Astyanax mexicanus: one gene and its partner. The protein of the gene in region 1 purifies or fractionates together with the protein of each later gene. This does not show direct contact. Links are inferred from orthologs where the notes say so. Each region holds a gene or a part of one and is shown on either strand. Other genes may lie near its edges.

Region 1 (17,234 bases):
ATCTATATTAAAATGTTTATATATATATATATATATATATATATATATATATATATATATATATATATATATATATATATATAGAATAAGAATATCTAAATAGAATTACCTTAAAAAACGAACATTAAACATAAAAAATAAAAAAATATATTAAAATTAAATAATAATAATGAAAATAATAAACTCAGATTAAAAGAATGACAATAAAATAAATGTAAGAACAATAAATAAATTAATAAATACAATAAAGTAAAATAAAATTTACAAGAGAAACTAGTGCTGGCCTCAAAACAAATCAGAGTTTGGATTATAATTGAAATTTTCGATTTCAAATTTTTTCCCCTACTAAAAATCTAACTACAGATGACTAAGAAATGGTTTAAAACTAGGTTTGCCTATAAACATCAGAACGCAATTTTGTGACTAAAAATTTAGAAATAATGCACAAAGCAAGTCACATAAGAAGGAAAGATTTTTATTGTTTTCCACAATTAATCACAGATCCTCACGTCACCGGAGAGATGACACTGCAGTTTTTTAAAACAGTAGGATTTATTTTTTAGCTAAATATATGCTTTATCCCACTGGGTGTTTGTGTCCAAAGTGCTGGAACTTTTAAAAATGAATGTTTAGAATATATGTGCGTGTTAGTCTGCAGGAGGCACCGGTAACCAAGGTAAGACAGATAAACACTTCAGAAATGAGTAGCGTTTTAATTCAAATTAACCGAATGAATCGTGAAATTGGCCCAGCACTAAGAGAAATTATAAATTTGCTTTCTGAAGGTGGTTAGAAACAAAACATTTAAAATGGTCAAGTGACCCCAGCAAGCCAAGCTTTTGGGTCTCCTGTAATAATTTATTATCACAAATTTTGTTGCTGACCATGGCATAGTATCCTTGTTTTCAAGGCAAGCTTTTGAGATGGCAGCAGCATGTGGACAAGCTTTGCCCTAGTGCCCTGGAGTTTAGGTTCTGAAATGATAGGGCCAGTGGTTATAGAACCTTATTAATGTATCACTGGTGTTGTGTGACAACAAACTTAAACTGCTTCTATTCACTCCACGATAGTCTGGCACGAAACCCATCGGTTGATTCCTTCTTGATTCTACTTTTTTGATGATGAGTGTACTGTATATGAGAGGGAAAGTTGTATTTATTTATTACAATACTGTTTTATTTGGAAAATCTCTATAGTGCAATGGGAATAGCACACAAAGAAATACAGTAACATCAATAATAATAATAATAATAATACACTGTAAACAAATTATGTTCTAGTTTTACTTAAATATATAGTGCAATAATTTTGCAAGCTTGTTTTTAAATGTAACAAACAATTATTTTTTTGGTAATTTATACTTAACATCTTAAAGTGACATTACTTTATAATAAGCTTGCAAAAATGTGGCACTATGTTTTAACGTAAAAAACATATAATTTCTGTTAATTTTTACTAAAAATCTTAAATTGACATTACTGAATAATAAGGTTGAATCTTTTTTTAATGAGAAAGTTTACAGGGCTCAAGAATCATTTTTTACATTGTATAAGGGAGGGATATTATATAGATATTTTTGTTCAGGAACTATACAGCAGTATAGTATCTTAACATTAATACATATTATATATTGCTTTTGCAGCGCCCATTGTGGGAGAAGCCCCTCATGGCTACGCCGGCATTGCTGTGGCAGTAGTCTTGGTGATAATTGCTGTGGCCGGATTGGCTGCCTTCCTGTTCTTTAAAAGGCCAACGCTGCCCGTGGTTGGAGAGTGTACATTTGACAACACTCTTTACTTTAACAACCCGGCACGAGCGAGCAACACTGTTGACACCAAGGGACTGGTTGCCAACATCGAACAAAATGAGCGTGCATAACACCCCTCTACCCACAAACACACACAGCATTAAACTGAATTAAAACACACAGGACTACACTGTGTTGCAGGGTAAACAAGACAGACACACACACTGTATTTCATATTAGCTGCTTTGATTAGAAACAATTGGTCTGTTACTGGAGATCTGTTTATTCTGAAGAAAGGGAAATCCATATAAAGCAAATGCTCAGAAATTGTATAGCAGTGTATTCATATCATGTAGCATCAAAAAGCTGTTTGTTGTTTCTGTTATTGTCTGTTTCATATGATTTATTGTAAATAAATGTCTACAAAAATACAAATAGAATGAAGTGGAAATGATTAAGCAAATGTTTTTTTTTTTTTTAGTTCTTTGAGAGTTGAGCAAAAAATTAATCCCTATCTGGACAGTATTAGTTTCTCAGGGAGACGTCTGTGAAAAATAATTTACACTTCTACTTCTACTCTGTGATAAAACTCTTGCATCCGGACTGCTATTGAAAAAACAGGAGGACCAGTTTGTTTTTTGGCTTTCTCAATCACAACATCATGTTCAGTAGCTCCTCCATTTCCACTCGCTGTTGTGTTTCGTGGTTCTCCGTTAAAATGTGCGCCCAAAGTGTAATTACGGTGGGTGGCAGTAGACAAATAGCTATTTTATTAAATGCAAGGTCACGAAACTCAGAGATGTGCATCCAGACGGGTCTAAAATTACCAGAGGAGCACGGAGTTCAGCGAAAAACAGTAGATAATTCAACCTGTACTTTTTTCAGAGGACATCTGAGAAAAACACGTAGATGGTCGTTCCGGATGGAAATAAAATCACAGAGGACCCCCCATAATTAAAAAAAAAATAGGACTTCAGCTATCTTACACTTGTAGGGCATGATTTGGGAAATCTTCTTTAAAAACATGAGCATGTAAAATACACTCCATGGCCCAAAAAAAAGTCTCCATCTTGATTTTACTAAGCACGTGATCTGGGGTTGCTGTAGTTGGTCAGGTCTGGGTTCAGCAACAGTACATGCTGAAAGAATGAGGTCAGCTGACCACCTGAATATACTGAAACACACAAAGAAAACTGAACCCCACACCATGACACCAGGCCTTCTGGATGTTTGATACGTGCCAACAAACAGTTGATCTTGGAGCTGACCACAATGCCTCAATTTTTTTTATAATGTACTGTACATGAGAGGGACAGTAAATGTATTTATTATAATGCTGCTATTTTATTCAGACTATCTCTATAGTGATCGAAATAGCAAACAAAGAAATACAATAACATCAATAAGAATAGACATAGAAATTGACACTTTTTATTTTTCATTATATATATATTTGTTGCTCGCTATCCCTTATTTTTCATGGTGTGAAGAAGGGGGCCATGTTTGTTTACTTTGTGTTAAATCTTTCGGTGCAGCAGCGAACCATTGATATAGGTTACACCCACGTTTACAGGATGTCGTGCTTACTAAAATAAGAGCAGAATTTTGCTTGAACCACAGTGTTTTGAACACAACACAAAAAATATATTTTTTTTGGTTTGAAAAGCTCCATTGAAAGTCCCACAGAAAAGGAGCTGTGTCTATAGTGGACAGGTCTAAGTTTAACACATTCAAACAATTGCCCATACATCCTCTATTTCCATTTTATATAGGATAAACCAACACCAGAACATCCTATCCCAGAGGAACAGGTTCCAATGTTTTTACTCCACAGAATGGTAAGAAAAGACATATAAACATTTGGGAGGATGTATTAAATGTAGCTCCTTCAAACACAGACCCAGCGGACATGGAATGCAGTGGACATAAGGTAGCTAGCTAGTGAGCTAGCTCCACAGAGCACACCTGTGTTTTTGTGTGTTTGTGTGAAAGCTGGTTAGCTATGCTGTAAATAAGATTAAATACCCTGTTATTTAGCATAGCTAGCAACTTTATACCATATTTTTCGCACTATAAGGCGCACTTAAAGTTCTTTATTTTCCCAAAAATAATCAGTGCTTATTTTAATCCAGTGCGCCTTATGTATGAATTTTACCAGTCAGGTTGTAAGCAGCAGTAAAGACACTCTGCTGAAGTACAGCATAATGCAGCACTGGGGCTGGAGTAGCATTAGTATTAGCCGCCAACCGCTATTTCCCCATTCCCGGGTATTATTGGCCTGTAGTCCGCTCCAAACACCGGTTAGCACTGCTTGAGCAGCATAAGCATAGTCACTAACCGCGCTCACTATTTCACTGTTTAGAGGTGAGTATTATCGGCCAGTGGCCCTGCTAGCCCTGCTAGCGGCTAGTTAGTCGCTAATCCTAATGTTCCAGCCTTAGTGCTGGAGAAATTCATGAATCTACACTTAATGTAAGTAAACGGAAGTGCTTTACTCACCCAAATAAACAGATGTAGATTAACATCCAGTGCTCGTTTGACTTTAAAAGAAAGTCTTTTTATTGCAGTTTTGTTTACTTAGCTTAGCATTACTTAACTTAGTTAGCTAAGCTAAGTTATGTGTGTGTAATATGTATTACACACACATTAGAACACAAACACTGAGTGGCATTAATGCGTCTCATTGTCTCCAGATCTGTCAGCAATGACTAGCCGTAACTTTCCAGTATCCACAAAGCCAAATATGAACAGCACCTGTTCAGTGTTGTAGAAAAGAAAATGAAAGGTGGGCTACTCCCACCTCTCGTCCGGGGTACAACTCCCCTGCGTGTTCGTTTGATAGAGAGAGTCAGACAGGTGGAGTGAAGCTGAAAGCAAACCAAGTATTTATTACAAAGTACTGAATATTCAGGAGAACCAATACATATAAGACAGTGTTACAGCCGACTCAGTAAGAGTTCTGAACCTCCTTCTGATCTGACTCCACGTTTATACCCCAAAATGACGTGCGACCTGCTGATGAGGCGTTGTTAGAATGTTAGAATCATTTCATGTTAGTAGGCACATTCTCACGTGTTAGAGTTCACAGGTCTGACCGAACCACTAGTGTTTGGCCTTGAATCGTCATCAAGATGGCGCCGAGCATGGCTGCCGTGTTGCGAGCTCCCACTTATTTTAGCAGTTTTTCTTTGTTTTTGTGTTTGCTTGTTACTCTTTTTGCACTGAATGTTACTGGCATCGTCACATACGACCGACAAACACTCCTGGGAATCAGATCGTCGATCACTCACCGCAAACCGGACTTTGAGTTCCACAACGCTGATCCTTTGTTGCCTAACATCGGAGAGGCTCCATTCACCTGGGTCGCCCGGCCACGCACGCGACGCAGACGCCGGAAAAGAGGCAAGCGAGCCGGTGTGCTCGTCAGGCTGAGACGCCGCGCTCACCGTCCGCCTCTTCCCACCTTGTTGCTGGCTAATGTGCAGTCCTTGGACAACAAGCTGTGCGAGCTCCACGCACGGATCGCTTTCCAGCGGGAGATACGTGACTGCAGCGTGATCTGCCTCACAGAGACCTGGCTATCCGTGGACATACCCGACCACGCCATAGAACCCGCGGGGTTCTCTCTGCACCGCGCCGACAGATCCAAAGAGCTCTCTGGGAAAAGTAAGGGAGGTGGTGTATGTTTCCTGATCAACAATGCTTGGTGTGATCGGAGGAATGTACATTTCATCGAGTCTTTCTGCTCGCCGGAGCTGGAATATCTGATCATCTCCTGCCGGCCGGTGTGGCTACCTCGTGAGATTACAGGACTGTGTTTAGCGGCAGTGTACATACACCCGCGCGCGGACTCGGAATTCGCACTCGGGAAGCTACACGAGACCATCAACAAGCAGATGACCGCGCGCCCGGAGGCTGCACTCATTGTTGCTGGGGACTTTAACCGGACAAACTTTAAAACTTTTTGTCCAGCACTGTTTCAGCACATTACATGCTTCACGCGGAAAACCCAGACGCTTGATCACTGCTACTCTAACATCCGAGGAGCCTACAAAGCCCTCCCCCGACCCCCGTTCGGCAAATCAGATCACTCCTCCATCCTGCTTCTGCCCACCTACAGGCAGAGGCTGAAACGAGAACCGCCCACCACCAAGGAGATACGCCGCTGGTCTGACCAATCGGAAGCTATGCTTCAGGACTGTTTTGATCACGTGGACTGGGAGATGTTCCGTGATTCGTCAAGCAGCATCGACGAGTACGCAGACACAGTCACCGCCTTCATTCGCAAGTGCGTGGATGACGTAATGCCCCTCAGATCAGTGCGCGTCTTCCCCAATCAGAAGCCCTGGCTGAACGGTGACGTCCGCTCCGCTCTCAGCGCACGCAGCGCCGCTTTCAGATCTGGAAATACGGAGGAGTACAAACGAGCCAGCTACGCTCTCTGTAGGACCATAAAAGCGGCCAAACGTGGGTACAGAGAGAAAGTGGAAGCACAGTTCAACACAGCCAACACCCAGAGCTTGTGGCAGGGTCTGAACATTATCACTGACTACAAGAGAAGCTCTCACACTCTGACCAGCACCAACGCTGAGCTGCCAGAGGAGCTGAACTGCTTCTACACTCGATTCGAGGCAGATCACGCTGCGCTCCCAGAGTGCGCCCCGCCCACCGCTGCGCTCCCAGAGTGCGCCCCGCCCACCGCTGCGCTCCCAGAGTGTGCCCCGCCCACCGCTGCGCTCCCAGAGTGCGCCCCGCCCACCGCTGATCCCATCCCACCCTCCGTCTCTGAAGCTGACGTGCGCAGAGCTTTTCAGCGGATAAATCCACGCAAGTCAGCTGGTCCGGATGGCATTCCCGGGAGAGTGCTTAAAGCCTGCTATAGAGAACTGGCAGCAGTCTACACGGACATTTATAATACATCACTCTCTCTCTCTGTTGTGCCAGCTTGCTTTAAACTGGCCACCATTGTGCCAGTTCCAAAGACTGCCCACACCACCTGTCTGAATGACTGGCGACCTGTTGCCCTAACCTCCATCATAAGCAAATGCTTTGAGAGGCTGGTTAGGGATATCATCTGTTCCTCACTGCCTGCCACCCTGGACCCACTGCAGTTTGCATACAGGCAGAACAGATCCACTGACGATGCGATCGCCCTGACCCTGCACACTGCCCTCTCTCACCTGGACAAGAAGGACACGTATGTGAGAATGCTGTTTGTGGACTACAGTTCAGCATTCAACACCATCGTTCCCTCGAGGCTCGACGTCAAGCTCCGGGATCTGGGTCTGAACAGCACACTGTGCAGCTGGATCCTGAACTTCCTGTCAGACCGACAGCAGGTGGTGAGGATGGGCAACATCACATCCTCCTCACTGACCCTCAACATCGGAGCGCCCCAGGGCTGTGTGCTCAGCCCGCTCCTGTACTCCCTGTACACCCACGACTGCACAGCCAGACACAGCTCCAATGTCATCATCAAATTTGCTGACGACACAACAATTGTTGGCCTGATCTCAAACAACGACGAATCGGCCTACAGAGAGGAGGTTAACATCCTGGAAAACTGGTGCCAGGAGAATAACCTCTCTCTAAACGTCAGCAAGACCAAGGAGCTGATCGTGGACTTCAGGAAGCAGGAGAAAGCATACTCGTCGATCTCCATCAACGGGACTGCGGTGGAGAGGGTCAGCAGCTTCAAGTTTCTGGGTGTTCACATCAGCGAGGATCTGACATGGACAGAACACACCACACGGGTGGTGAAGAAGGCACAACAACGCCTGTACTTCCTCAGACGGCTGAGGAGGTTTGGTCTGAACCCCATCATCCTCAGGACTTTCTACACCTGCACTGTGGAAAGCATTCTGACGGGCAGCATCACCACCTGGTATGGGAACTGTACTGCTCTGGAGCGGAAATCCCTGCAGAGGGTTGTGCGCACAGCGCAGTACATCACTGGGGTTGAGCTCCCAAACCTTTTGGATTTTTACACCAACCGCTGCCTGAGGAAATCCAAAAAGATCATGAAGGACCCGTTCCATCCAAGCCATTCCCTGTTCTCACAGCTGCCGAGTGGAAGGAGGCTCAGAAGCTTGAAGACCAGAACCAGCCGGTTCCGAGACAGCTTCTTCCCCCAAGCAACCAGGCTGTGGAATAGCCAGTAGAACGGTGTTCTGCCCAACCCACCCCACTGACACCCATACAAACTCTGCACCCTGCACTTTACTTTACACTGCATCTATCAGACTTTCCCATATTATACAGCATTCTGCCCCCTGCACTCCCCACTCAACTCATTCCTTACCTGCACTTACTCATAGCTATACTGTCACATACTGACTACTTCCACACTATCCGCATATCTACATCTGTGCATATCTGTTCTGTGCAATATTTGTCTATAGTGTAAGTTATCATGTCTATTGTAATTAAGTGTATTGTAAATAGTGTTTATACTGTAAGTTATCTGTATGTCCTATTTTTATATATTTTATTACTCTCTTGTAAATATTATTCTTTGCGCATTGGTGGGAATCTGCACCCAAGTTTTTCACTCACATGTACACCTGTACTCTGTGACGTGACAATAAAAATCTTGAATCTTGAATCTTGAATCTTGATGTGTCCAGCAGGACAAAAGTGGTATTGTTTTAAGAACTAGACAGTGTGATATTGTTTCAGTAATTAGACAGTGCAGCCCTCCCTTTGTGCGCGCTATCACCCCTCTTGGGAGATAAAAAAACAGCGCACACACAGAGTGAAAGGTCGCATTGTTCGTACCCGAGTCTCTTTTGTATCAATTCAGTTCGTACAAAGTGCTCTTGGCTGATGATTGATTGTCAGTCAGAAACATGCAGTAAATTAAATGCTTCAGGCATAAGCTGTATGTGCCCAACAATGGGCTCTATATGCCATACGTTACTGTGTTAGCAGCGCGTGGTTAGTCCGCCATATAATAGATCCTATGTGTTAATATACATCTGATGCATCATGTGGGTTAATTTCTCATAATAAGGGTAGTGTTAATCACATGCTTGATCAAACAGTGTTTTACTATGTGTGTAAAGGATATAATGTGATTATTGATTAATCTTTTATATAAATGTGTGTAAAATCCACTGTGAGTAATAAAAATGATCAGATACAATGTGAGTATTGGTTATGCATATTGAATACAAGGTTTCACACAATGATTATGTAAATACAGATACTAAGATAAGTAATCATAATTGAAAGATATTTGTCAATCAACCCAAATTATAATTAACTGAAAGATATTTGTCAATCAACCCAAAGTATAATAAACAGTTACTCTTTATCAGTTATGGGATTAGCATAGACCCGGTGGACTCCCGTCTTAAAATCGCTCTACAATGTTGCAATAATAAAACTAGTCTAAAGGCAACTAACTAGTCCGTCTGAATCTTAGCTAATCACCTGCTTAACTGATAATGAATTAATAAGGGAATATATAATGTAGCCCATTACATAGCTTCTGATGATATTTGTCCAACAACTTTTGAGCCGTTCTTAAACACTTTACAGTCCAAATATTTATTGGCCTAATTGTATAAGTTTTTATTTGATTGTACAGTGTTAATTGCATTTCACAAACATTTCACAAACTGTTTTGACCACAAGAGGTGAAGGGTTCACCTACTGACAGTACCTCACAACACACACACACACACACACACACAAACTTACACCCTGTCTGTGCCTCCTACCGCCCCCTTGATCCCTGCATAGTCATTGCTAAAATGAGGCTGATATTGCCATAGTAACCACTGACCTATGAGGCTGAAGCAGTGAGTACTAATCCTCTGAAAGTGGCACAAGCATATTTGCTCATAAGAGGGTTTTTCACTCCTGTTCTGGAATTTCTTATTTTTTCCCTGTTTCTCTTCCTCCTTAACCTGAAAGAAGGAAAACATTACTGAGGACTCCAGAGGAAGAAAAGGAAGGTACGTAACTTTAGAAGTGGACACACTTTTTACTCAAAAGTTCATGTTTGTTGTTCTGAAAGTTCTGGAAGCTCTTTGCTGATTTTGAACACTTGCAACTTTTGGTTGTGGAGTTGAGAAGATAATTAGTTAATTATTAGATAATAAGACTTTAAAGTTTCTTTTATTTCAGCTCTGTAAACTTTTTGGCTATTGAAAAGATTTGTTTTTGTTTTGGAGGTGGGCAGTTGGTTCACTCCAGTGGTCAGAGTTTGTTCTGTTGGGACTGTTGTGGTCGGCCACTACTGAGCGGTGACTGAGGCACATAGGAGGAAGGGGGGTTAACCCTTTGAGGCCTTCAGGCTTATTTCTCTGTTTGTAGTGCTAATTTGAGCTGCTACGGTCGCTATGCTGTAGCTACTGGCTAATATACTGTAGACTATGTGGTGACTAGCATGAAAATAATTACTTATAGTGTGGTTATAACAATTAGTCTTTTCCTTTAACAAGAATGCAAACAAACACTGTGAGTTTATGTGAATGCAGCCAAAACTCTACTACTCTCCTACTCTACTATGATGAGTCATGCTAAAACAACATTTGAAGTGCAAAAAATTACCTGCAAAAGTGTTCTCTTAAAGAAACACTAGGTTTCTATGTTCTGTAGTAACTCATAACAAAATCAGGATGTATCATCAGATATAAAGGAAACCTGCTGAGCTTAAGCACAGGCAGCTCTTGTCATAAGAGCTTCAGACAGTATTTTCTTAATAGAACTGTGTAGTACGTCACAGAAATCTGTGTGGGATTTAGCCTCCGAATCTGCACAATGCCATCCCCTCAGTCCCATTTTCACACCCAGTGTTGCCAGGAATAGAACACAACAGTACACAAACAGTGTGCTGCAGCCATGGTAAAGGGCAAGCTGGTTATTTTTCTGCTGAACAGGTAATCACTAAGTTTCAGTAAGGTCACTGACCATAGATGGGAAATTTACCACCACCACTAGCATAATAGAGACAGGCACTTTAGATGTTGAAACCTGTACATATCTATACTATCTACAGATTAAGAGTTAATCTGGCAACCTGCATGAGCTTTAAATCTGGATCTATACAGAAATTGGAGCCCTGTAGTCATTTTACATTTTACTCGTTTATTACTGTTTGTTCCTTTAAAGCAGGGGTCGGCACTTAAGTTATATTTTCCAAGCCATTACATTGTGGGCCACAAAAAAAATGGGATATGGGAAATGAAGTGTTATGGGATAGAGTGCTACAGCCTAGTAGCTCTCTAGCCCAGAGGGTTATTGAACCAAATTGCAGAACAGTTTAATTTAAAGCAGGTAAACCCAAGAAGAAATGAAAAATTAATAAATAAACATGCCGCTCCTCACGTGGGATCGAACCCGTGTCATCAGGGGCGGGGCACAGTCCAATACAATACTGCTGCCCTGGCTAGTGAATTGGTACACGGCTGGGGAAAAAACTCCTTTATAATGGGATAGGGAGCCACGAGTGTGCAAGAGAGGTAGGGGAAAAATGTAAACAAAAGCTCACAAGAGAAGCATTTTATATATATTTTTTTATTCATTATAGTTCAAACAACCTCACGGGCCAGATGTTTTATGTCTATTGCCAACCCCTGCTTTAAAGAGTACATTATTTGTAAGGGTAACTGTCTGTTCTTAGTGTTTAAGGCTGTAGGAGTAGGTACGGTTGAGTTGATTTCTTAACAAGTGCAAGTTCATTGTGTTATTTAAGCTCAAATTATTTGATTGAATAAAAAGCAACCGGTTTCCACAAATTATTTTAGTTCTTGTATGTAAGACAAATTTAATATAAAAAGATATTTAATTTTACTACACTCATATTATTTAATTTAATTACACTTTCTTGCTTTTCTTGTGTTTGTATGTGTTTTGTTCTGAGGCAGAGTGGGAGTCAGTCTAAAACTTTTGTCTATGTGTGTGTGTGTGTGAAGCTCATTAGTGCTGGAGGGGCCTCTCTCTGTCGTCCTCCTGCTGTTCCTGAGGCCATTAGAAAACCCCTTAATTACAATTCATTCAATTCCTCTCTCTCTCTCTCTCTCTCTCTCTCTTTCTTTCTTTCTCTGCTCTTCACGTGCTATATCTTCTCCCTGTTTCTCACTCTTTCTAAGTCCCCTTCAGTCCACTCTCTGTCTGTGACTCTTACAGCCTGCACACTTTCTCTCTAATTTCTGTGCAGATCAGTGTTTGCATCAGTGTGTGTGTGAGAGTGTGTGAGTGCCTGCATGTGTGTATGCTGCAATGCGTGGGCTGTGCAGGCCGTGGACTCTGGGGCTGCTGGGGCTTCTCAGTGCTCTGGGTAGCTGGTTGCCCTCAGTTACAGGAGGTCAGGAGGCCTTGAGACGGGCAGATGTTGGTCTACTGGTCAGCGAGATCTTCCATGTGCTCCAGTGTCCAGAACGCATCGGTGGAACCAAGGAACTCTGTGATAAGGTGAGTGTTAGTAAAACAGGGAACTGGTCCATTTAGAAACTTCACTATTAAAGTTAATCTCTCACCATTAAGACTCTAAACACAGCACACACATGGTTTGACTTTTTGATAATTCAGCATAGTTCAGATCACTCCATGCCCAGTGTAAGGAGCAGGTGCTATGGGCAGTGCTATCTGTGAGCACATGGTCAACAACTGAAACACGAGGGTGTGTATAGCTTGAAAATGCTCACAGTTTCAATATACAGTAATGACGACATCTACTGATATCCTTTTAGATATAAAGAGAACATAACATGAAGCCCAATGTCCCAAAATGCATGTGAACTTAAAGGTACTAAACTATGTTGTAAAGGCACAGCAGTATGTTTATTTACATGCTCAGGATATAAGACACACGTTACAAGTATAGTCATACTACAGCCAGACATTATACAGATTTTTTTAAGGGCTGTACGATTTGGATAAATAAAAATAGTACCTTAATATATTTTTTATGATACCGATATACAGCTCTGGAAAAAATTAAGAGATCACTTCACTTTCTAAATCAGTTTCATTGATTTTGCTATTTGTAGATATATGTTTGAGTAAAATGAATGTTGTTTTTTATTCTATAAACTACAGACAACATTTCTCCCAAATTCTAAATAAAAATATTGTCATTTACAGCAAATGTGAAATGACCAAAATAACAAAAAAGATGCAGTGCTTTCAGACATCAAATAATACAAAGAAAACAAGTTCATATAGTTTTATAAGTTAAGAAATCAATATTGTAATCACAATTTTCATGCATTCTGATATATTTACCTCCACCAGTCTTACACACTGCTTTTGGATAACTTTATGCCACTCCTGCACCGTAAGCCCGGATAAGTTGAATTAACTTAAAACATTTGAGGAAACCGGTTGCCTTAAAAAAGTTAATTAATGGGTAATGAAAACTTAAGTTAGCATAACTTAGAACATGAAGTTATTACAACTAAAGGGGAAGTTAATTTAACTTTTTTTTATTTTTGTTATATTGTTAGACCAGATAAGTTGAGTTTACTTCACTTTTTTAAGGCAGCCGGTTTGCTCAGTTTCTTTTAAGTAATGGGGAGTGAAAACTTGAGTTAGCATAAATTAAACCATCAAGTTATTACAACTAAAGGGGAACTTGATTTATTTCTAAGGTAGCCCAGGGGGAATCACTACACACTGATGGTGAGTGTCAGAAACTGTTGGACACACCCAGTATGCAAATAGATTGTGACAGAAGCCAATAGAAAAGAAGATGCCAATGACAACAGACTAAACTCAGTTATTATAAGTTGGTTCAACTCAAAGATCTCAGTTTGAATGTTTATGTGCCCAAAAAAATTCCACTAACTTAAAATAGTTGAGTATTGTTTAGAAATATCCAATTTTATGTAAAACAGAATTTATTTGAGTTCAAACAGTGTATGGGTTTACAGTGTGGTGCAAAAAAATCAAGCAGTTCAGTTTGGTTTGATGGCTTGTGATCATCCATCTTTCTCTTGATTATATTCCAGGGCTTTATAATTTGGTAAAATCAAAGTAACTCATCATTTTTAAGTGGTCTATTATTTTTTGCCAGAGATGTATATCTCAACATTTTTTCATTCCATGAGGTAATAACCAAAAAGACACTTTTGACACGAAGCTACATGCCATGATTTTATACAAGCACTTTTATTATTCAGTGCCATATTCTGTATATTATAATAGCTTAGCATTTTACATCATCAACAACTGAAAGGCAATTAAAATTACATGAATAAACAAGTTCAAGTAGCTCAAAAACAAGGGACACAAAAATATAGTGTGCTTTTGGAAAAAGTGCAGGTAGAGTGCTTGAGAATAAGTAAATAAAAAGAACAGTTTGAGTTTTCTAAAAATCTTGGTTGAAACAGTGTCAGGCCTATTCTCATACCCCTGGTCAGTCCAGGTTAGAGTGGGCGTATCTGCTCTAAAGATCAGTGTTTAGTTCAGTAGTGGCACTTCACACTGCTGCTGTTTATTAGCGATATGCGCTAACACAACAAACAAATGTTTTATTTTTTTTTAAAGAGGAAGATAGATGGCCACAATCCATCAAACCAAGGTGAACTGCTTAAATTTTTGCAGCAGGAGTGGCATAATGTTATCCAAAAGCAGTGTGTAAGACTGCTGGAGGAGAACATGCCAAGATGCACAAAAACTGTGATTAAAAAAAACAGATTTATTCCACCAAATAAAAAAAAAATTTCTGTCCTCTTAAAACTTTCTTTGCATTATTTGAGGTCTGAAAGCGCTGCATATTTTTTGTTATTTTAGCCATTTCTAATAAATGCTCTAAATGAAAGAATTTGTTTATGTAATTCGGGAGAAATATTGACCGTAGTTTATAGAATAAAACAACAATGTTCATTTTACTCAAACATAAACCTATAAATAGCAAAATCAGAGAAACTGATTCAGAAACTGAAATGGTCTCTTATTTTTTATCCAGAGCTGTATATATTTAACCTATAGCAGTTTAGCTGTGCTCACCTACTTCAAAAAGGCACAGTAACACAAACAATTAAAAAATATTTAATTAAAAATGTGTTGTGATTATTAATTCTATTATTTATACACAGTATTTCACACAAGTTTCACTTGCCTATATGCTTTGTTTAGACTATGTTTGTTAATTATGTGTTTATCTACTAATTAACAGACCCATTTTTAACATCAATCAACATAATCAGCATACTTTAAAACACTAAATAAGAAGGATCTGGGTGGCTTTGTGATATAAACAAAAGCAGGCTTCTGAATTCCTCACTGCAGGGTCACAGAGTGAATGGCACCTTTAGGGCTGAAGGATTTTTACTTGTAGTATTATAAGTGGAACTCACAGAACACACAAGAAGCTCTGTGTACAGCTATGTTCAACTTTCAGTCAAGTGTTTGTGTGCGTGTGTGATTAGATGTACAAAGCCTGACCACTATGTGCAAAGAGCTGATTAGTGCCATGCTTAAATAACAGAGGCCAAGAGGCCACTTCTTTTCCACCTTTGCAGACCTGTGGTGTTCCAGAAGGTTCTACATTAGGGCCCATTCTATTCTTAATGTGTATTTTTTTATGGTGTAGTTAATATTCCTCCCCTTAAAACATTAAAAACATTATTGGACATTGTGTGCCACTATTTAATAACAATGTAATACCTTAATTATGCAATTACACTCTTTTAAAGCATTTTCAATAATTAAGAATATTTGTACATTGGAATATAACATTTTAAATTATACCTCAGTTAGTTTCGACACTGCAATGTGATTGGTTGAGAAGAGTTTTATGAGTGACATTATTAGCCAGTAATGCACTGTAACTTTGGCCACACACAGGTAACCTAGTAATGATGCAGAGCTTACAAACCAAATACAAACCAAATGCAATGTAATTATACACCACTGAAAGGCGCTAGATCCCATAGACACAGTGCAAAAACGTCATGTCTCCAATTGGCGGCGCAAACAAAGATGCGGTCCCACAAATAAGCCCAATGATTCGAAAATACTCATTATTACACACATTTTCAGCAACTAATATCAGGTTAAGAGATGTTATTATTAAAATAAAAGCTTAAAGGTACATTCTGTAGGAACTGAGAGCGAGTGTGTGAAATGGCTACAGCAGTCCAATTTCAAAACACCACAAAGAGTAGTCTGACCCGCCCACCCCTCCCCAGCTGTGAAACTATCTAGGGTTGCCAAATTCAGCAGGCTGAAGCTACACAATCTTTACAATGTTTAGACTAGTAGGAGAGACAGAAAACTTAGGGAGTATGAGGGAGAGGAGAAATACAGCAATTCTAAACTCTTCTATCACCCGTATTTAGAGTTATACTGACTGTATTTCAAACGAGGGAGCGCCACAGTCGCCGGGAGGGAGAGCCGCGGTTGGCTGTGCCCCAAGTGAGGGAGCGTCGCGGTCAGAGGGGCTCTGATCCGCGTGAGAGACAGCTCTAGCCCTTAGTAAGCACATCTAGTTGTGGTGATAAAGTACCTGACTTTATTAGCTAGCCAGTTATCTTACCTGTTCAGAAGAAAAGTAGCAGCTCTGGGTCGGTCTTGTCGTCTTTTTGAGCTCTAACTCTCCAACTTTCAAACTCACTGCCAATATTCACTCTTGTTATATTCCTACTTTGGTCACTGAGCTTTTTTGAGACATACTGAGGCTTTTTAAGCTGTGTAGCAGCTGTGGTTTAACTGAATAAGCTCCTCTAGCTAGCTCCTTTGCTGCAGCATGGATCGCTAGTGTGGGTGCTGGCAACCTGGGGGGTGGAGTTAGTGTTGGGGAATGAGCAGCAGGCAGAGTCAGAGGACAAAACAAACACTAAATCTGGGATGGAGTGAAAACTTAAAATAGGAACGTACTGCTGAAGCTCGTGCTGCCAGTGCTTTCACTCAGCATGTTTCTTTAATATCTGATGATACATCCTGAATACTTTATCATTTACTACTGAAAATTTGTTACATATTGGTCCTTTAAGTGTATATATTTTTCAGTTAATATAGGGTATTTTAAGCTGAATGTAAAACAGGGGACCCTTGTAATTCTGCAGGTCTTGCCTCTAGGGGCGCTGAAGTATACAAAACTGTAATTTTTAATAAATAATTTTCTTTCAAAGTTAAACGAGCACTGGACTTAAATCTACACAGATTTCTCTCCTGAAAACTGTTTATTTGGGTGAGTGAAGTTCTTACGTTTATTTACAGTAAGCTAAGATTTCGAGAGTTTTGACTGAAATGGCAGAAAGTAGATGCTACCAGACTAAACTAGCTACAATGCAGCGCTTACAACAGCGCAGCTACAAACAGAGCAGCAATGGAACTATTTTAACTTATAGAGTGTTTATAACCAAACACATCATATTTTCTTGTCCTCTTTAACTCAAAATATTTTAATAAACAGCAACAATATGGTATAATCACAATAATACACTCATCGTTCGTGCTATAACATGTAATATTGGCACTGCTGTGCTGCAGTCGTATATTACACGTTATAGCACTACCTTTCGTGAATTAT
Region 2 (16,627 bases), on another chromosome or scaffold:
AGCCAGGGGCCATCACTCTGGAAACGGGCCTTGCAGTGACTCCGCCCACACACCACTCCGTCCACCAATAGCATCATGGCCCGAAGAAGTGGACGCTTGACACGTTTCAGCAGCCTCGAGCACTGTCTCTCGCCCCCTGTATTAGCTAATCCCTAAATCATTCCGCTTCATTATTATTTGTTTGTTTAACACAAAGCCTTTTAACAGCGCGTGGAGGTGAAGGCCAATCGGCTGAGCGGCGACAACTGACCAAGCGTTCGACAAGCGGCTAGTACATTCACTTCGTATAACGCCATACTGAACATATTTCAAACTAGGGCTTCGTTTAAGCAAACATTTCAAGCGCCCTACGATTTAATGTGATTCACATGCTCATTCTGACAAACTGTAATACACTACAGGAAAGATAGGGGGAGCTCTACAACTCACTATACACATATTGATCTGATCAACATGCTCATTCTAACAGACTGAAATACACAACAGGAAGGATAGGGGGAGCTCTAATACTCTAAACACATGTTGATCTGATCCACATACTCATTCTGACAGACTGTAATACACTACAGGAAGGATAGGGGAGCTCTTTAATACACTATACAGATTTAATCTGACTCACATACTTATTCTGACAGACTGTAATACACAACAGGAAGAATAGGGGGAGCTCTATAATACACTATACACATGTTGATCTGATCCTTATACTCATTCTGACAGACTGTAATACACAACAGAAAGGATAGGGGGAGCTCTACAATACTTGCTAAAGATCACGTACACAAGCCTAAAGGCTATTGGAAGAAAGTTTTATGGACGAATGAGACCAAAAAAGAACATTTTGGATTAAATGAACATCATTATATTTGGAAAAAGGAAAACACTGCATTCCAACGTAAGAACTTTGTTGGCATATCATTTTTTTGGGCCTGTTTTGCTGCATCTGGGCCAGGATTATACAACAATGAATTCTAATTTATCTCTTTTGAACTGAATCTCAAGAGAAGGTGGGTCAGGCAGCAAGTCATTCCACCACAGACCGTTTAAAGAAGAATACAGCTAAACCTTAATGTTTTGGAATAGGGCCAAGTCAAAGTCCTGACCCTAATCCACTAGAACTGTTGTGGAAGGACCTGAAACAAGAAGTTAATGTGAGGAAACCCAACACCATCCCAGAGCTAAAGCTGTTTTGTACGGAGGAATGGGCTAAATTTCCCCCAAGCCGGTGTGCAGGACTGATCAATGTTTAGCAGCAGTTATTGCTGCAATATTATATAAATATTAATTATTATTACTCATTTGTTTAATTGAATTCTCTTTATCTACTTTTAGGACTGATGATTTATATTTATGCAGAAATATAGAAAATTAAAACAAGATTCATGAACTACAATTGAGCTCTGATTGGTCCAGCAGACTAAGGTGCTGCTACTATAATCAGAAAATTGATTGTTTGCCATCAGTAGCCGGTAGTGCTGTAACAATACATCGATCTGTATTGATACATCGATACAACTATGAATGATACGATGCATCGATTTGACGTAAAAACATCGAGGCATGTGTTTTTCACGTGCGTTTAACCGGTTACTGCAGAAGCAAAAAATCACTTACTATCACAGCATCCACAATAAAGCACTGAACCGCAGATTAAATATCCAAAAAGTCCTTTATTCGCCTGCTCACTTCTCCTTGCTTGCTTTAGTTTCAGCTAGGGTTGCAACGGTATGAGATTTTCACGGTATGATAACCGTCTCAGAAAATACCACGGTATCACGGTTATCACGGTATCACAGTTTGTTACATATATTATTAAACTGACCCTTAAAGAAATTACAACAAAGGTTTTTGTTCAATTAACTATTTATTGTAGAAACCTGGAACAATTATATAGATAATGTCTCCTTAAAAAAAATAAACTGTACACCATCAGGTGAAGGAAACCAGGTTTTTCCACTACTCTTAAGGTCATATATATATACACACACACACAAACACACGTGTCACAAATTACATGTCCTCTAAGAAGTAAAGATCCTGTGTTTAAACTATTCAGTACAATTATTTAAGTTTAAATTATTTAATATCTGATAAACTGAGCCTGGGTCAGTGTCTGATCAACAACTGTTGTAAACGTCCGTTTTACTGCCAAGTTGGTATATAACCAGATAGAGGGGATTTATTTCTGAGTCTGGTTTTAACACATGAAAAACAGGCACGTCAGAATTTGAAAATTAACGCATGTAAATGAATGGCGTCTTTCACATCCAGTCCGGCGAGCACCTTTACACGGACACGTGAATCCGTCGTAGCACGCACTTCACGCCTGTACCTGCGTGCCCAAATTTCGGATAACTCAGCGCTTTTGCGGGCGCTTACCGCATGGGTTGTGCACGACTACAAAGAGATTTTATTTATGTTCAGATTAAAATTATAAACTAAACACATACTTTGCGCTGCACGGCGGGGTGGTGTTCTTGGAGATGGGAGAACAGGTTTGACGTATGTCCACCTTTAGCTGTGACTTTACGGCCACATTGATTATAAATCGGATAACCATCCTCCGGTGCGTTCGGCGGGTCTCTGAAATATTCCCACACTGCTGATTTTAGTTTAGCCTTTTTGTAGGCGGACGGAGATTTGTTTAGTCTGATGCACTTTCTGCTGTTCTCACCGCTGTGTGCTGAGCAGCTGAAGCGGAGCAGAGTTGCGCATGCGCGGGTGAGTTTCTCCGCTGGCTTGCGTTTTACCGGTAATAAGCAAACACACACGGTATGATAACCGTGCATTTTAATACCATGGTATACCGTGAAACCGGTTACCGCTGCAACCCTAGTTTCAGCGCAGCCGCAACGTAATATTCTCAAGCTCCTAGCGACCACACATGCAATGTTTTTACTTAAAGTTGTACGTGAATCCAAAGCTAAGGGTGTCTTCTAGATTCTGTGGTTTTTATTGGTCCACAAACAACTACTTTTCTTGAGTGATCGTCTTTTGAACCAATGGCGTGAGCGCTGGATCACGTGGGTGTCCAATCTAATCAGGTCACAGCCTTTTTCCAGAAGGCTTCTCCTGGAGAGATTTTGAACACTTTGGAGACGCCTGGTGGACACCTAATATAATGCAGTGTAACTTTGCTTTGTGATATAAATTACAACTACTGAATCAGGAAATGTAGAGAATGATTGACTATTCCTCACCAACATCCATACACACATTGTAAACTCCAAATATAACAGGTGCTTTTTTTTTTTTTTACATTTTCTTCTGCATTTGATGTTCTCAAATGGAACCTTAATAATGGAAATTAAAGTCTTGAAGTGAATTATTGTTTTGCCCCAACTGTCTATTTCAGTTTAAGCCCTGAATGGTCATTGTGCTATATGTAAAACTTAAGATATTCATTTTTAAATCTTAGTAGTGCAAATCGCATGAAAATGAGCATAAAATTGGATCTGCAGTAAGAGGTTTAAACATTGCATTGTTCCGCTCTGTGTTATTCTCCGCCTATTGTCCGTTACTCTCCGCTGCTGTTTGCCGAGTACATGTTTGAGTTAAGAGTTACACAAACCAGGAGCCCTTAGCAAGTCGAATCGTATCGTAGTATATCGTATCATATCGTATCGTATAGTATCGTATCGTATCGTGACATAATTTGAGGTAGCGTACAATATCATATCGTTGACTAAAATAATCGTATCGTATCATATCGTAATGAATCTTGTGATTTACACCCCTAGTAGCCGGACTCCAAGAGAGAGCGCAACTGGCCATGCTCTCTGTCTGGGTTGGTAGATGGTGCTCTTTCCCGTCATTGCTCACCAAGTAATATCAGTCAACAAGAGGTGTCTATTAGCCAATGTATCATACCCAAGTTGCTGCGCTGTCCTCTGCGCGTGTTAGATTAGACTTAAATTCACATTTTAAATCACACAACTCAACTCAACTCCACATCTCAGCAGCACTTCTACTCCATGAGTCTATGTGCGCCTGTACGCTTCACAGGCCTCGAGAGAAGCTCAAGCTCAAACTCCGCTACTTCTTTAAGCAGCTTGTTGCGATAGCGTACACATGCTAATCTCTTAGCATAGCGAGCTGCTCCTTTTTTTTCCCTCTTCTCCGTTCTGTGGGGTTTTGTTTTCACTGATGTCTCCCGGAGCCAAAGAACTCGGCAATGAGACGCTGTCAGCCGCACATTCCCACAAACTGACCGCTGTAATTACTGGAATTAGGGAGCTATTTCATCATTAGCATCACTCTGAATGAAGAGCGAGATGGAGAGCGGGAGGGAGAGAGATGACTGATCGGATCCGAAGATCCGCGAGCCGTCCCCCTCCCCCCCTCGCCGCACTTTTCCCTGTTTAAATCGGCTCTTAATGCTATAATACGGTTCCAGTCGGCTATTGTGAGCGCTGATGGTTCGGGGGGGACGAGTTAAAAAGAAGAGGAAAAAAAAAAGTCACCGCCGACGTAAATGCACTTTTGTTAGCATCGGCGTGCAAATGCCAGCGCTCGCCTTTTATTTCGCTAATGTCTTATTTGCGGCGTTGATTACAGGGTGTGTATACGAATAAATGAATGTGGAAAACAAAGAGCGGGCAATCAGCACTTCACGGAGCGGCGAAGCGCTCGGGACAGCTTAATGAGGGAGCTCAAAACACACGCTCGCGTACAACACACAGGCCTTTTGAGATGACACTCACATGCGTGACACATTAGGCAGGGCTTGCACTTTGTGCCGAGACGTGAAGCATAATCTTAATATGTAAATTAGCGACGAATGTTTCCGGGACAAAAGGGAAGATCGGCGCTGGAGGGAAACATCTCAGCGCGCCACAATGCCAGCTGTCAGCGCCACAGAGGAGGAGATGGATTTGGTATTGAACATGGATGATAAGCAAAGTCCCTCTCTGTCTTTCTCTTATGCGTGTGACATGTGTAGCCCCCTCGAGGGCTTTGATTAAGTGCCATATCAGAGGAGAAACTCAGAGAACAGCAGAGTTTAAAACAGGGAGATTGGTTGGTTGGTTGGTTTGTTGGTTGGCTGAGGGCGGGTTGGGGGTGGGTGCGACCACCCCATTACACCTAATGACTCTGAGACGAGGCGATTCAATAAAGCACCACCTAAATACCATAATTACTCTTTATGGAGTCCGGGCCCTCTCGTCCGTGCTGGCCATCTACACGTCGCCATTCACCGGCTCCGCTGCGTAATTACACGGTTGATTATATATACATGTTTATTTGGTCTGTGGAAAAAAAATCTACAATAACTGTCACAATATGATGATGATGATTATGATAATATTCATCTTTGCTCAGAACCTGAATGTTTCATTGTGCCATAGTTCTCTGTGGGCTATATATCAATTAGCCGAGCTGATTTTGAGACCCTGTCAGCTAAATAAACCCACTTCTTGACAAGGAAGTTCAACCACATGCAAATGTAAACATATTTACATTTTATCATGATCCAAATTCAGCTACAATCTACATCATGTGACTGTTGCATAGATTTAGCCTAATGCTAAACTGCTGTGTTGTTTTGACATAAATAAATGCTGGGTTTGGAATGATGGAGTCGTGTAGCACACATAGCAACAACCCAGCCGATGGGTTAGCTCTCATTAGAGCTTAGATCAGGTCCATCCCTACCTGAGCCCATGCAGGTTATGTCCGCACCATAAGCTGCCATTATGAGCCTGTTTTAAACCCGGCATCGTTTTGGTAAGTAGAGCATTAAAACTCAGTTTATACACAGACAAGGACAGAAAACGGGAAACACCTGTGACCGGGTAACAAGTGGGCGGACCTACAAATGAACAGGTAAGCACACAAAACACAAGACACAGGATACACACAGGGCACGTGCAGAGGGTAAATAAACACAAGGACAGACCAAAGAGACAAAACACTGGACGAAAACATGGCAGTAATGTAGAAGTGTGGAGGAGCTAGCATGTGCGCACTGCTTATAACATTTTTACAGTGTGAGAAAGTGTTAGGAGTAGACACTTATTATGATTTTTTTAATAATCAGAAACCACTTATATGGGAATTGCCAATTTGCCAATCAGAAAACTTCAGTGGTAAATACTGAAATAATCTTTTTAGTGGTTTTATGAAATATGTATAGGCAGGACAGACACTCGCAGATACCAATCAAACAATTTATTAACAAAGGGATTAGACTTTGCAGGGGTAGATAGAGACAGGCAGGGTCAGTATCAAAATGGCAGCAATAGTAAACAACATACCAGAGTGAGGAGGCAAAAGGGTCATACACAAGGAATCCAACAGGTAAAAAAGACTAGGAGAAAATATTAGTCAAAATACAAAAACAAGCAAGAGAGTGGTAAAAAACAAACAAACAAAAAAAAACACACAAAGGAAAACAAAACAAAAGTAGTGGTGGAGGAGCTATCAAGCTAGATTCAATACCTGGCAAGGAGGAACTGAAACAGAGGGGTATTTATACTAACAGGACCAGGTGTGGGTCAATAGAAGCTCAAAGGGCTGAACACCGTAATGATTTAATTGATTTAATATTGTTTTTAATTTATCATAATATTTTCACACATTTGGAAAAAGAAATAGCAAAACGGTATTTGCATTTTCATTTTAGTGTTTTATTTTTGACAGGATTTACCTACCATATATAACGACATAAAAAAACAAGAAACCAGAAATCACAAGGTGATGAAAAAAAAAGTTAAAGAGGAGAAGACAAAAATAAGTAAGTAAAAGTCAGTTTCTTTTTTGTTTGTTTGCTAATTATGTTATTAAATGTTCGTAACTAGAATATAAAACTGTTCTAAAAGAACTTATAAAACACTGATGTTTCAATATTATTAACTACTTTAAGGTAAATATTAATCAATACTATTATAAATAATAAATCCCTTAAAAAATATATACTAAGTCGTACATGCATTATTGTTTTGCCGTTTGCTTCCGTTTGCTTCACAAATATACATATATATATATATATATATATATATTTTTTTTTTTATACATATATTTTGGGCTAGTTAGTTTATATGTACTGCTGTGTGTAAGTGCCCGTAAAAGCAGTGTATTTTACTAAGAAGAGTAATAATGAGTGTCCACAAACTTTTGGACATACACTTTACCAAGAGATGTTGTTTAGTGTATAAAATGTGTACAAAATGACCATGCTTTATATGTGCTGGCTGGGTGGAGATATGCTTCCCTCTAGTGTCAGACAGTGGCACAGCAACGCAACACAAACAGAAACAACGTTAATACACCATAAAATATATATATACGTTGAGATGTATATGCTTATATTAAGCTAAATAAAACTACCAAATTTTCGTTGTGCTTATGTTGAGTTTTAAATCACTTAAAACAATGTGAAATTTCTAAGTAAGACTTAGTTAAGTTTATTATTCCTAAAATAAGCAAAACAATCTTACACTTACACAATGCTTAGTAAAAAAAATATATATATATATATATATATATATATATATATATATATATATATATATATATATATATATATATATAAATTAGATAATATTACTTTCTAAGATTTAGGGTTTTTTTAAGTGTAGAATTGTTCAAATGTGAATCATCTAATTTATCTATGTGTGTGTGTTTGCTTTTTAGTGCATCCTTGATGATAAATTGACAGAAATACAGCAAAAGCTGGTTTGTAAAACCTTAACCATTAATATGCCACAATCCATCTAACGCTAAGGTGATAGTATATATCAGGGGTGGGTCACAGGGGCCAGAGTCCAGCATAGTCTACTGATATCCCAGACCTACCAAACCTGGCAATAAACAGGTGGGTGGATTTGAAGTGTGTTTGAGCAGGTTTGATGTAAATATTAGTGTAAATGTTGGAGTTTCTTATTAGCCTGCAAATATACCCTGCCTTTCAGAACAATAAAACAAGTACTCTTCATTTTCACTTTTGTTTGTCTGTTTGGGGTTTTCATTGAGGGTTTATTAATCCCTGGAGCATTCATTAAAAGGCATACACCTAAAGAGGTATAAACCCAGTCCTGGTTGCTCCAGGAGAGTAAGGAGAGAGTCTCTCACTCAATCCTACAGAGAGTTACAGTTTCTGTAAAGCATAGATTTGAATTGTTTCCTCTCCTACCTTCTTAATCCACCTGTTAACCTGTTAAAAGTTGTGTTTAACAGTAGACGTTTGACAGTTTAAGCTGTAAAATGTGCTGTGATAGTCTAATTTCCTCCTAAGATATGACAATTTGAGGCCAGAAGTCCCAAAGAGCAGCCCTGGCCTAGCTCTCTCTGTGTGGGTTTCAAGTTTGTCAGAGTTTTACTTTTCACCCATTTTAAAATGCTGAGGTCAGAAATAAACAAATGGCCCTCTTGTTTTCTTTCCTTTGACACAGAAAATCCTATCCATCTACTAGTCCAGGGTTTAAGATGATTTAGGTTTAAAGAAGTGGGGAAAAGCAATAAAAAAACTTTAACAATAGTTAGTTAAATATAGAATATATACAGTACCTGTTTCAATTCTGGACACACCTCTTCTTTTGTGTTTTCTTTCTGTTTATGGTTTTTAACATTGTACATTTTATATTAAAGACTATATAAAAGCTCTACAGGAACACATATGTGGAAAAAGAAATGTGTTAAACCAGAATATGTTTTATATTTGAGAATCTTCTTAGTAGCACATTTATCCTTAAGGACAGATCTGTACACTCTTGTTATTTTAATCTTAGTGTCTTCATGAGGAAGAGTCATCTGGAAAAAGTTTTATCAGAGCCTAGAAAGAGTTCCTGAGGTGCAGAAAAATAGTTGCTGCTTTTTCTAAATGCTGTGAAGCTCCATCTCATCCCACATCGCCATTTCATTTGATCAAGTTTAGATCAGGGGATTGGTCAGATGGAGGTCAATCACTTCTACTGTTTACTACATGATTCCATATGTGTCCCATAATTGTTTTTTTGTATTTAGTATTAATCTACAATGTGGAAAATGAAAAGAAAGTTTCACAGTTCGGTTATGTTGGTGAGTTTTGACCATTCTTTGGTAGGACAGCATTTGTTCTTTGGTCGTTGTCTTGCTGCATGGCCCACGTTTTATTGAGATTCAGCTCACAAACATGCTTTTCTTTTCTTTCAGAATTTGCTGGAACAATTCGAAAAGGTTTACATTCTTTTGTCACTCACAAATCCTAATTCTTAATTTACTTTTAGGACCTGTATAAAATATTTTTGTATAAAAAGTTTTAGGTCAGTTTATGCAGAAATTTTAAAAGATCTATCTATCTATATACATCTATCTGTCTATAAAGAGTACAAATATTTCTGTCATATTGTTTTATGTTAAGTTAATGAATCATATGGATTGTTTGAATGCCTTCTTATTACTTAAGTATTCTATAAGCGCAATGTAACTTTTTGTGTTTATAAAATTTCCATAAAATCAGAAACATCTCACGATCTTATAAAAGGAATAAAAGTAGAAAATGCTCTGATATTGAAACTGCATGGATATGAGCTAGAATAACAGCTATGGAAAACTGTTTGTTTACTATTAGGAGAAAAAATGGCCTATACATTATAAACAATGAATAGGAATTTATATTATACCAAAACTATTTAATTTTTTTTTTTTACATGGCCTAAATTATATTTAAATGCTAGTATATAATTTAATGCCTTCTTATTACTTGAATATTCTATGACCAGAATGTAATTTTTATAATATTTAAAAAAAATTATGAAATTCGGTTTTGAAAGAAATATGTGACATGTACAAATGTACAGATATTTATTATTATATTCAATCTTTTCATATCGTTTAATCAGAACCACGTGGCTCTGTGACGCAGCGTTGTTTTGGTCACGTGAAAGGAAACTGAAAAACGCGGCTGTGAAGGAGAGAAGCTTCAGGGCTGAGTGTGGAGCGGAGTTATGGAGGAAACCCGGAGAAACTGTCAGATTAAACCCGGGGTCTGCAGCTCTGTTTCCCGCAGAGAGACCTCCTGAACACCGCCGAGACTCTCCCACAGCTCCCGCAGACTCACAGCGGGGTAAGAGCCCGCAGACCCACAGCTAAAGCTAACCTCAAATAAAAGTCCCCCTAAAGTTTACTACTAAATTAGCTAAATAATAAATCTCTTCATCCAGCACATTCGATTTACTGTTTTATACTGTTCGCATGTTAGTAAAAAATATTTTATTAAATGAAAGTTTTAATATCTGCATGTTTAACGGGGCTCAGATGAAAGCTATGCTAACTAGCTAATGCAACTACTTAATGCTAACTAACTTACTGTACTGTTTAGAGTCACATTGCCTTTAGGATATGATGGAAAGGTCATATTTACTCAGTAATTTGAATTATAAACTGGTTGTATTTGAGTTATTTGACAGTAGCAGATTAACACTGCTGGTTACTTTAAATTTTAATCTAACTCTTATCCACCTACACACACTAAATAGACCAGATAAGCCACTACTAATCTTCTAAAGTAGCTATCAAGGTAGCAAAATTGAATATTAGACAAAATATGTTACCCTGGTTTCATTTATTCTTCCCGTAATTTAATAAATCATTCTCGTAATTTAATAAATCAGTCCTTCAATTGAAAAAATCATTCCCTCAATTTACTAAATAATTCCCTCATTTAATCATAATTAAGTTTATTGTTTCTACCTTGATACTTCGGTAAGTACTGATGATCACATTCTGTTGTGTTTTATTGCAGTGATGTCAATACAGCTCTGGAAAAATAATAATAGACCACTTAAAAATCATAAGTTTATTTGATTTTACCAAATTGAAAAGCTCTTAAATATAATCAAGAGGAAGATGGATGATCACAAGCCATCAAACCAAACCAGGAGTGGCATTATGTTATCCAAAAGTAAGACTGGGGGTGTGTAAGGTGGAGAAGAACATGCCAAGATGCATGAAAACTGTGGTTAAAAAACAGGGTTATTCTACCAAATATTAATTTCTGAACTCCTAAAACTTTATGAATATGAACTTGTTTTTTGCATTATTTTGAGTTTGAAAGCTCTGCATTCTTTTTGCTAAAATGACCATTTCTCATTTTCTGCAAATAAATGCTCTAAATGACAGTATTTTTATTTGGAATTTGGGAGACATGTTGTCCGTAGTTTATAGAATAAAACAACACTTTTCATTTTACTCAAATATATACCTATAAATAGCAAAATCAAAGAAACTGATTCAGAAACTGAAGTGGTCTCTTAATTTATTTTTCAGAGCTGTGTGAGTATAAAATATAACACCTCTTCTCATTTCTCATTCAGTGTGTTTTTTTTCTTTTTATGATTTTTTACATTGTAAATGTAATACTAAAGACTATATTAAAGCTATAACGTTAAATGAACACACGCGGATGCATATTGTTTAGTACACAAAAAAAAGTGTTCTTCATCTTCATCCTAAACTGCACTGAAACCTCCTCATGAAACTAATCCCCCTAAACTGGAATTACCGGTTTGCGAAAGGATAAATAAACAGGCTGTGAATTGCAGTCTGTCATCAAAGCGCGTTACAACTTCTTTAACTCGTTTCCTGGTGTTTAGTTCCACCTTAAAAAGCACTGCGTGAGGTTTTTAAGGTGGAGTGGAACTATCGCACGCATGTGTGAACTTTGCAACACAAACGGTCTCGCTCTGATTGGCCACTCGACCCGAACTGTGAGAGAAACGGCGTCTCTGATTGGCTGTCGTGGTACCGGGGGGAACCTGTAGCGATATCTCTCCGCTCATTGGTTCCCACCTCAACGCTGGTTTGCTGATTGGCTGAGGGGGAACCTGGGTAAAGGTTGTTGTGATCAGCTGCTCTCTGCGGATCTCTCACTTCAGCAAACAATGTAGAGGAGAGATCTCAGAGATCACAGCTCCCGGTCCGACCGTCCACCCCCCGCCTGATCAGCTACCGACCCTCCGGCCGCCCCGCGCTCACCGCCCCCGGAACCTCGCCTCGCTCCCCCGCTGATCCTCTGCTCCTGTCCCGCTGCAGGGATGAGAAAACGGAACCCGTCCCCCGGCGCAGAGCAGCAGCACGACGCCGCCGACAGGGCGCTGCTGGACGGCAAGCAGAGCTCCGGAGGAGACGGGCAGTGGGACAAAACCATGGGCAGGAAACTCAGGAGGTCAGTAAACAGCACAGCTACTAATTACCCTAATGTCGCTAAGAGCACTGCTGCTATTACCTGGTTTTATTATAGTAACAATAGTACCTGAAGAAAATAACCAAGGTAATAACATATGTTATTATACAGTATAATGCCACTAATGCCTAGTGTTTTTAAATCGTGTCATTACAGTGGCACTAGTATGTGTTTTATGTTTTAATTAACAGTTTTATACATTAGTATTGTGTATTGTGACTATTGTGTTATCATTGTAGTCACACTCATCAGTCCTGTCACAATAGCTATTTTGCTTCAGCTGATATATTGTTATGTTGTCCCAGAGTAATGGAATAAATAAACAATATTATTGTAATTTTAAGACCATTAATGTCACAAATATAATAATATTTGAAAACACAATGACATAATAAGGCACATATGATTACACCTTTTTAAATGGCAGCAAACTTTTAATCTTATCAACATTCATTAATCATCAGGATTGAAATACAATTACAGGCCTGAATAATTGATATTGAAAAATATACCTGTAATAAATGATATTACACCATATTTTGTACAGTAAGTCTATAATGTAATTATTGTGACCGGCTACTCACACTAGTATGTTAGATTAGATTAGATTACAATTAAACTTTACTGTCATTGTGCAGAGTAAAGGTGGGTACAGGTACAGAAATGCAGTATGTAGTAGCAAAAGTACAAGATTACAGAGTAATCGTCATTGCAAATAATTGTCTTATTACAGTGACACCTGTAGCCTTTTTTATTACTGGTAATGGTGTTCTAATATAGTGCCATTAATTACCAATGTCTTTAATCATATTATTTACTTGTAAGTGGATTTATTAGTGGTGGTGTTTTATAGGTGTCTGATTTAATTGATCATGTTATTTTCTAGGACCTGGTTTATTTAAATTTGTTTTATGGTGTTATCGTATATTGGCATTAATATCTGGTATAATTGTTCATTTTTTTCCTAGTTTCTGGTTTCATCAATGGTATAATTTATAGTGACAATACCTGATTTTATTAATAATGTTATTTTTCAATTGTCCTTAGTAGGGTTGGGTGATATAGCCATAACATAATATCACAAATATTTTTATTTATTTATTTATTTTGCGAAAATGAAATTATTGGCGATATGCTAGCATTGTGGCCTGTTGCAAGCATTGGCTAAAAGCGCTGTATTTGGGGATGCTGAGGGAAAATAGCTGGTGGGCTATTCCACAAAAGTTTGTATCATGTTTCACTCTTTCATTAAACCCCATAAAGTCAATTTTAAAACGGATTTCTCCTTTAATGGTGCTTTTACTCTGGTGCTGGCAGTGAAGTTGTGTAAGACACTTTTGAAATGCTGAGTTATGCTTGTGTATATGACCGTTCAGTTGAAAAACAGCACTTGAGGCACAGCTGTGGGCTGAATTGTGTGTATTTGTTGTTTGTTTCTATATAAGTTTCCTCTTTCTGCAGAGAATGTGTGTAGGCTGTAAGCGAGGGAAGGAACGCTGAGTCTGTAGGGACGTCTGAGCAGCAGTGCTGTCTGTGCAGGGGGTTGAGTGAGGCCGAGCCAGCAGTTTTTAGACCTGGTCTTGTGTTCAGACAGGATCAGCCAGTTTCGGGCAGGTTTAGTGATTTGCTGAAGCTTTTGCTGCTCTCATTCAGAATGAATGATGAGATCTGTGAGGTCAAAGGTCAGTGTTGTGATCCTGTTTATCCTGTTTGATGAAATTCCAGTCAGAAATGAAGTGATAATGCAGAATTTGTAAATTCCGGGCTTCTGTAGTTTCTGTGATGATTATTGGCTTCACCTCAAAATGGTACTGCAATGGGGAGAATAGCTATCATTCACTCTCTGAGCTGCTGCTACTGCACTACGGAACTTTGGTGAAGCTGCACAAGATCTCTCTCCAGAATTGTGAAATACTGCGTGACCTATAATCATATTAGTGTGAAATATTGTAATATTACTCTACCTCTTCTGTCTACAGTCCACATGCTTCTCTCACTTCAAATGCTGCTTATGTATATCTTTTATGTACACATATGCTTGTGTGCAGCTGTCCACAAGGGGGTGCTTAAAGCGTAATATGTATTTATGTAGTGAAGGAAAAGCGGTTAGCAGCTAATGCTAATGCTGCTGCACCCAACCTTAATGCTGGGGAAACATCACTGAAAACTGATTGACTTTACTGCTCCTTAATACCTGACTAGTAGAATTCTTATATAAGGGGCACCGGATTATAAGGCGCACTGTCGATTTTGGGGAAAATTTAAAGATTTTAAGTGCACCTTATAGTGTGAAAAATGTGGTAAGCATCTGCTCTGTTTTTAGACTTGGTGCCGGACTTTATTTTGACAGATGATGAGTCAGAATTGGAAGAGTGTTTGAACCTGACTGAACCGAAACCAGGCTTTAGAGTTTAGATCACAGTAACATTCACAGTAATTACACAGATCAGCAGCACCTTCTTATTACCGCTATCATCACTTCACTCTAATACAGGTTACTGTGTGTTCCTGTTTGTGTGTATGTGTGTGTGTTCTGTAGGAGTGAAGCTGTGGGTGAGCGGTGATGTAATATTAGTACTGCCTGTTCTTTCTTTTTTTTATTTCAGAGAGAGAGAGAGATGATGGAGGGAGAGAGAAGATGGAGAGAGAGAGCGAGAGATGAGGGAGTGAGAGGATGTATATAAAGAAAGAGATCAATATAGACAGAGATTGAAGAAAGACAGATATGATAAATTACAGATAATGAAAGATTAATTTTATTAAAATGCTAAATATGTAGGTTTAAGGTAATAACTTTTTATTAATTAGAAATAATAAAGTCTTAATAAGATACTCAATACAGATTTTGCGATTTTCCGTATATTACAATACAGTTCTCTACCATACTTTACAGCACCTGTGTTGCTGAAGAGAATAAAATACTCCTAAATAAGCAAGTACCAGTAATGATGGATTCATTGGTGTTTCAGTTATACAGAATTGAACAACCAATATTCCAATATTCTTCACTGCATGTTTATTAACCCTATTCATTAGATTATAGCGCCACCACACGGTGTAATGAAGCAGGAACATTAGTAAGTCAGATTGGATGGAGAATCCTACGGAGTTTAGAGTGCTCATGCTTCAATAAATTGTTGATATTTGCTGCCACGTATTAATAATTGTATCACAAATGAAAATCGTACAATAAATCGCAATATCAATATTTTGTCCCACCCCTACTGCAGAGCAGAGATGGTTAAGGTTAAGTATTGCTCAAAGGCTGAACAGCGGCAGCTTGTTGATCCCCATAACCCTGCCATCAATAACCCAATGCTCTAACCACTGAGCCACCACTGCACGGAGAGATATAGAGTGTCACAAAGAGGAGAGATATACAAAAAGAGAGAGGGAGGAAGAGAGAGAGGGAGAGAGAGAAAGATGCAGATCTGTTAGCAGAAGAAGAGATCATACGTCTTCAGTAGATGGAGAGAGAGAAAGCGAGGGATAGGGAAACGTTCAGCTACAGCAGGCGTGCGAGAGCGAGACTCTAGAGACTTTCTCTGGTGTGAGAGTGAGTGTAGTAGCAGCACGGCTGCCGGAGCTCAGCTTGCAGACGCTGCAGACTCAGCAGAATCTCTGCACCCCGTCTGCTCCTCTCAGCCCGACCCACACTTCCTGCTCAGATTACAGCCATAGTTAATTTATCACTGTGCGCTTCCCCACCACAACCAAATATTAGCTTAGCACTCGCCCCGTTCAGGTGATGCTGCAGGACCAGGGTTGCCAGAGTCACCAGTGTAACGTACACTACAGTGTGAGTGATGTGTTCAGTCAGAAAAGGAGCCCAGCTGCTGATATTTGTTACTCGTGGAGCCCAGCTCAACAATGGTTACTAAAATTTAACCATAATTAATCACTTTAATTCAATTTAATCTGTCTTCATTAGGATGAAATCATCTAAAAAACGTACAGCACTGGGAAAAAAATGAGACCACTTAACATTGAGTTTTTTTATTTAACCAAATTGAAAACCTCTGGAATATAATCAAGAGGAAAAAGGATTATCACAAGCCATCAAACCAAGCTGAACTGCTTGAATTTTTGCCCCAGGAGTGATAAAGTTATCCAAAAGCAGTGTGTAAGACTGGTGGAGGAGAACATGCCAAGATGCATGAAAACTGTGATTAAAAACCAGGGTTATTCCACCAAATATTGATTTCTGAACTCTTAAATCTTTAAGAATAAGCACTTGTTTTCTTTGCATTGTCTGAGGTCTAAAACCTCTACATCTTCAGCAATTTCTAATTTTCTGCAAATAAATGCTTTAAATTACAACATTTTTTATTTGGAATTTGGGAGAAATGTTGTCCATAGTTTATAGAATAAAACAACAATGTTCATTTTACAAAATCAGAGAAACTGATTCAGAAACTGAAGTGGTCCCTTAATTTTTCCAAATTTGTATATATCCAAAGACCA

The links.
Region 2: the proteins of zinc transporter ZIP12 (region 1) and abhd12 purify together in Homo sapiens (co-immunoprecipitation; 3 studies listed by BioGRID and IntAct, counting the BioPlex papers as one, with this or other methods). This does not show direct contact. The link is inferred for Astyanax mexicanus from reciprocal best matches to the Homo sapiens genes SLC39A12 and ABHD12.

What each region holds. Positions count from the first base shown.
Region 1 is NC_064415.1:34,117,273-34,134,506, reverse strand, and holds the start of zinc transporter ZIP12, read left to right. Parts: upstream 1-9,480; 5' UTR 9,481-9,708; intron 9,709-11,622; exon of another isoform or gene 11,623-11,915; 5' UTR 11,916-11,977; coding exon 11,978-12,169; intron 12,170-17,234. Other genes in the region: mrc1a (macrophage mannose receptor 1), read left to right, coding at 1,643-1,878. UniProt on the Homo sapiens protein: Uniporter that promotes Zn(2+) import from the extracellular space to the cytoplasm across the cell membrane. The transport activity is temperature dependent. May play a role in neurulation and neurite extension.
Region 2 is NC_064421.1:30,144,349-30,160,975, forward strand, and holds the start of abhd12 (lysophosphatidylserine lipase ABHD12), read left to right. Parts: upstream 1-9,872; 5' UTR 9,873-10,045; intron 10,046-12,012; 5' UTR 12,013-12,014; coding exon 12,015-12,145; intron 12,146-16,627.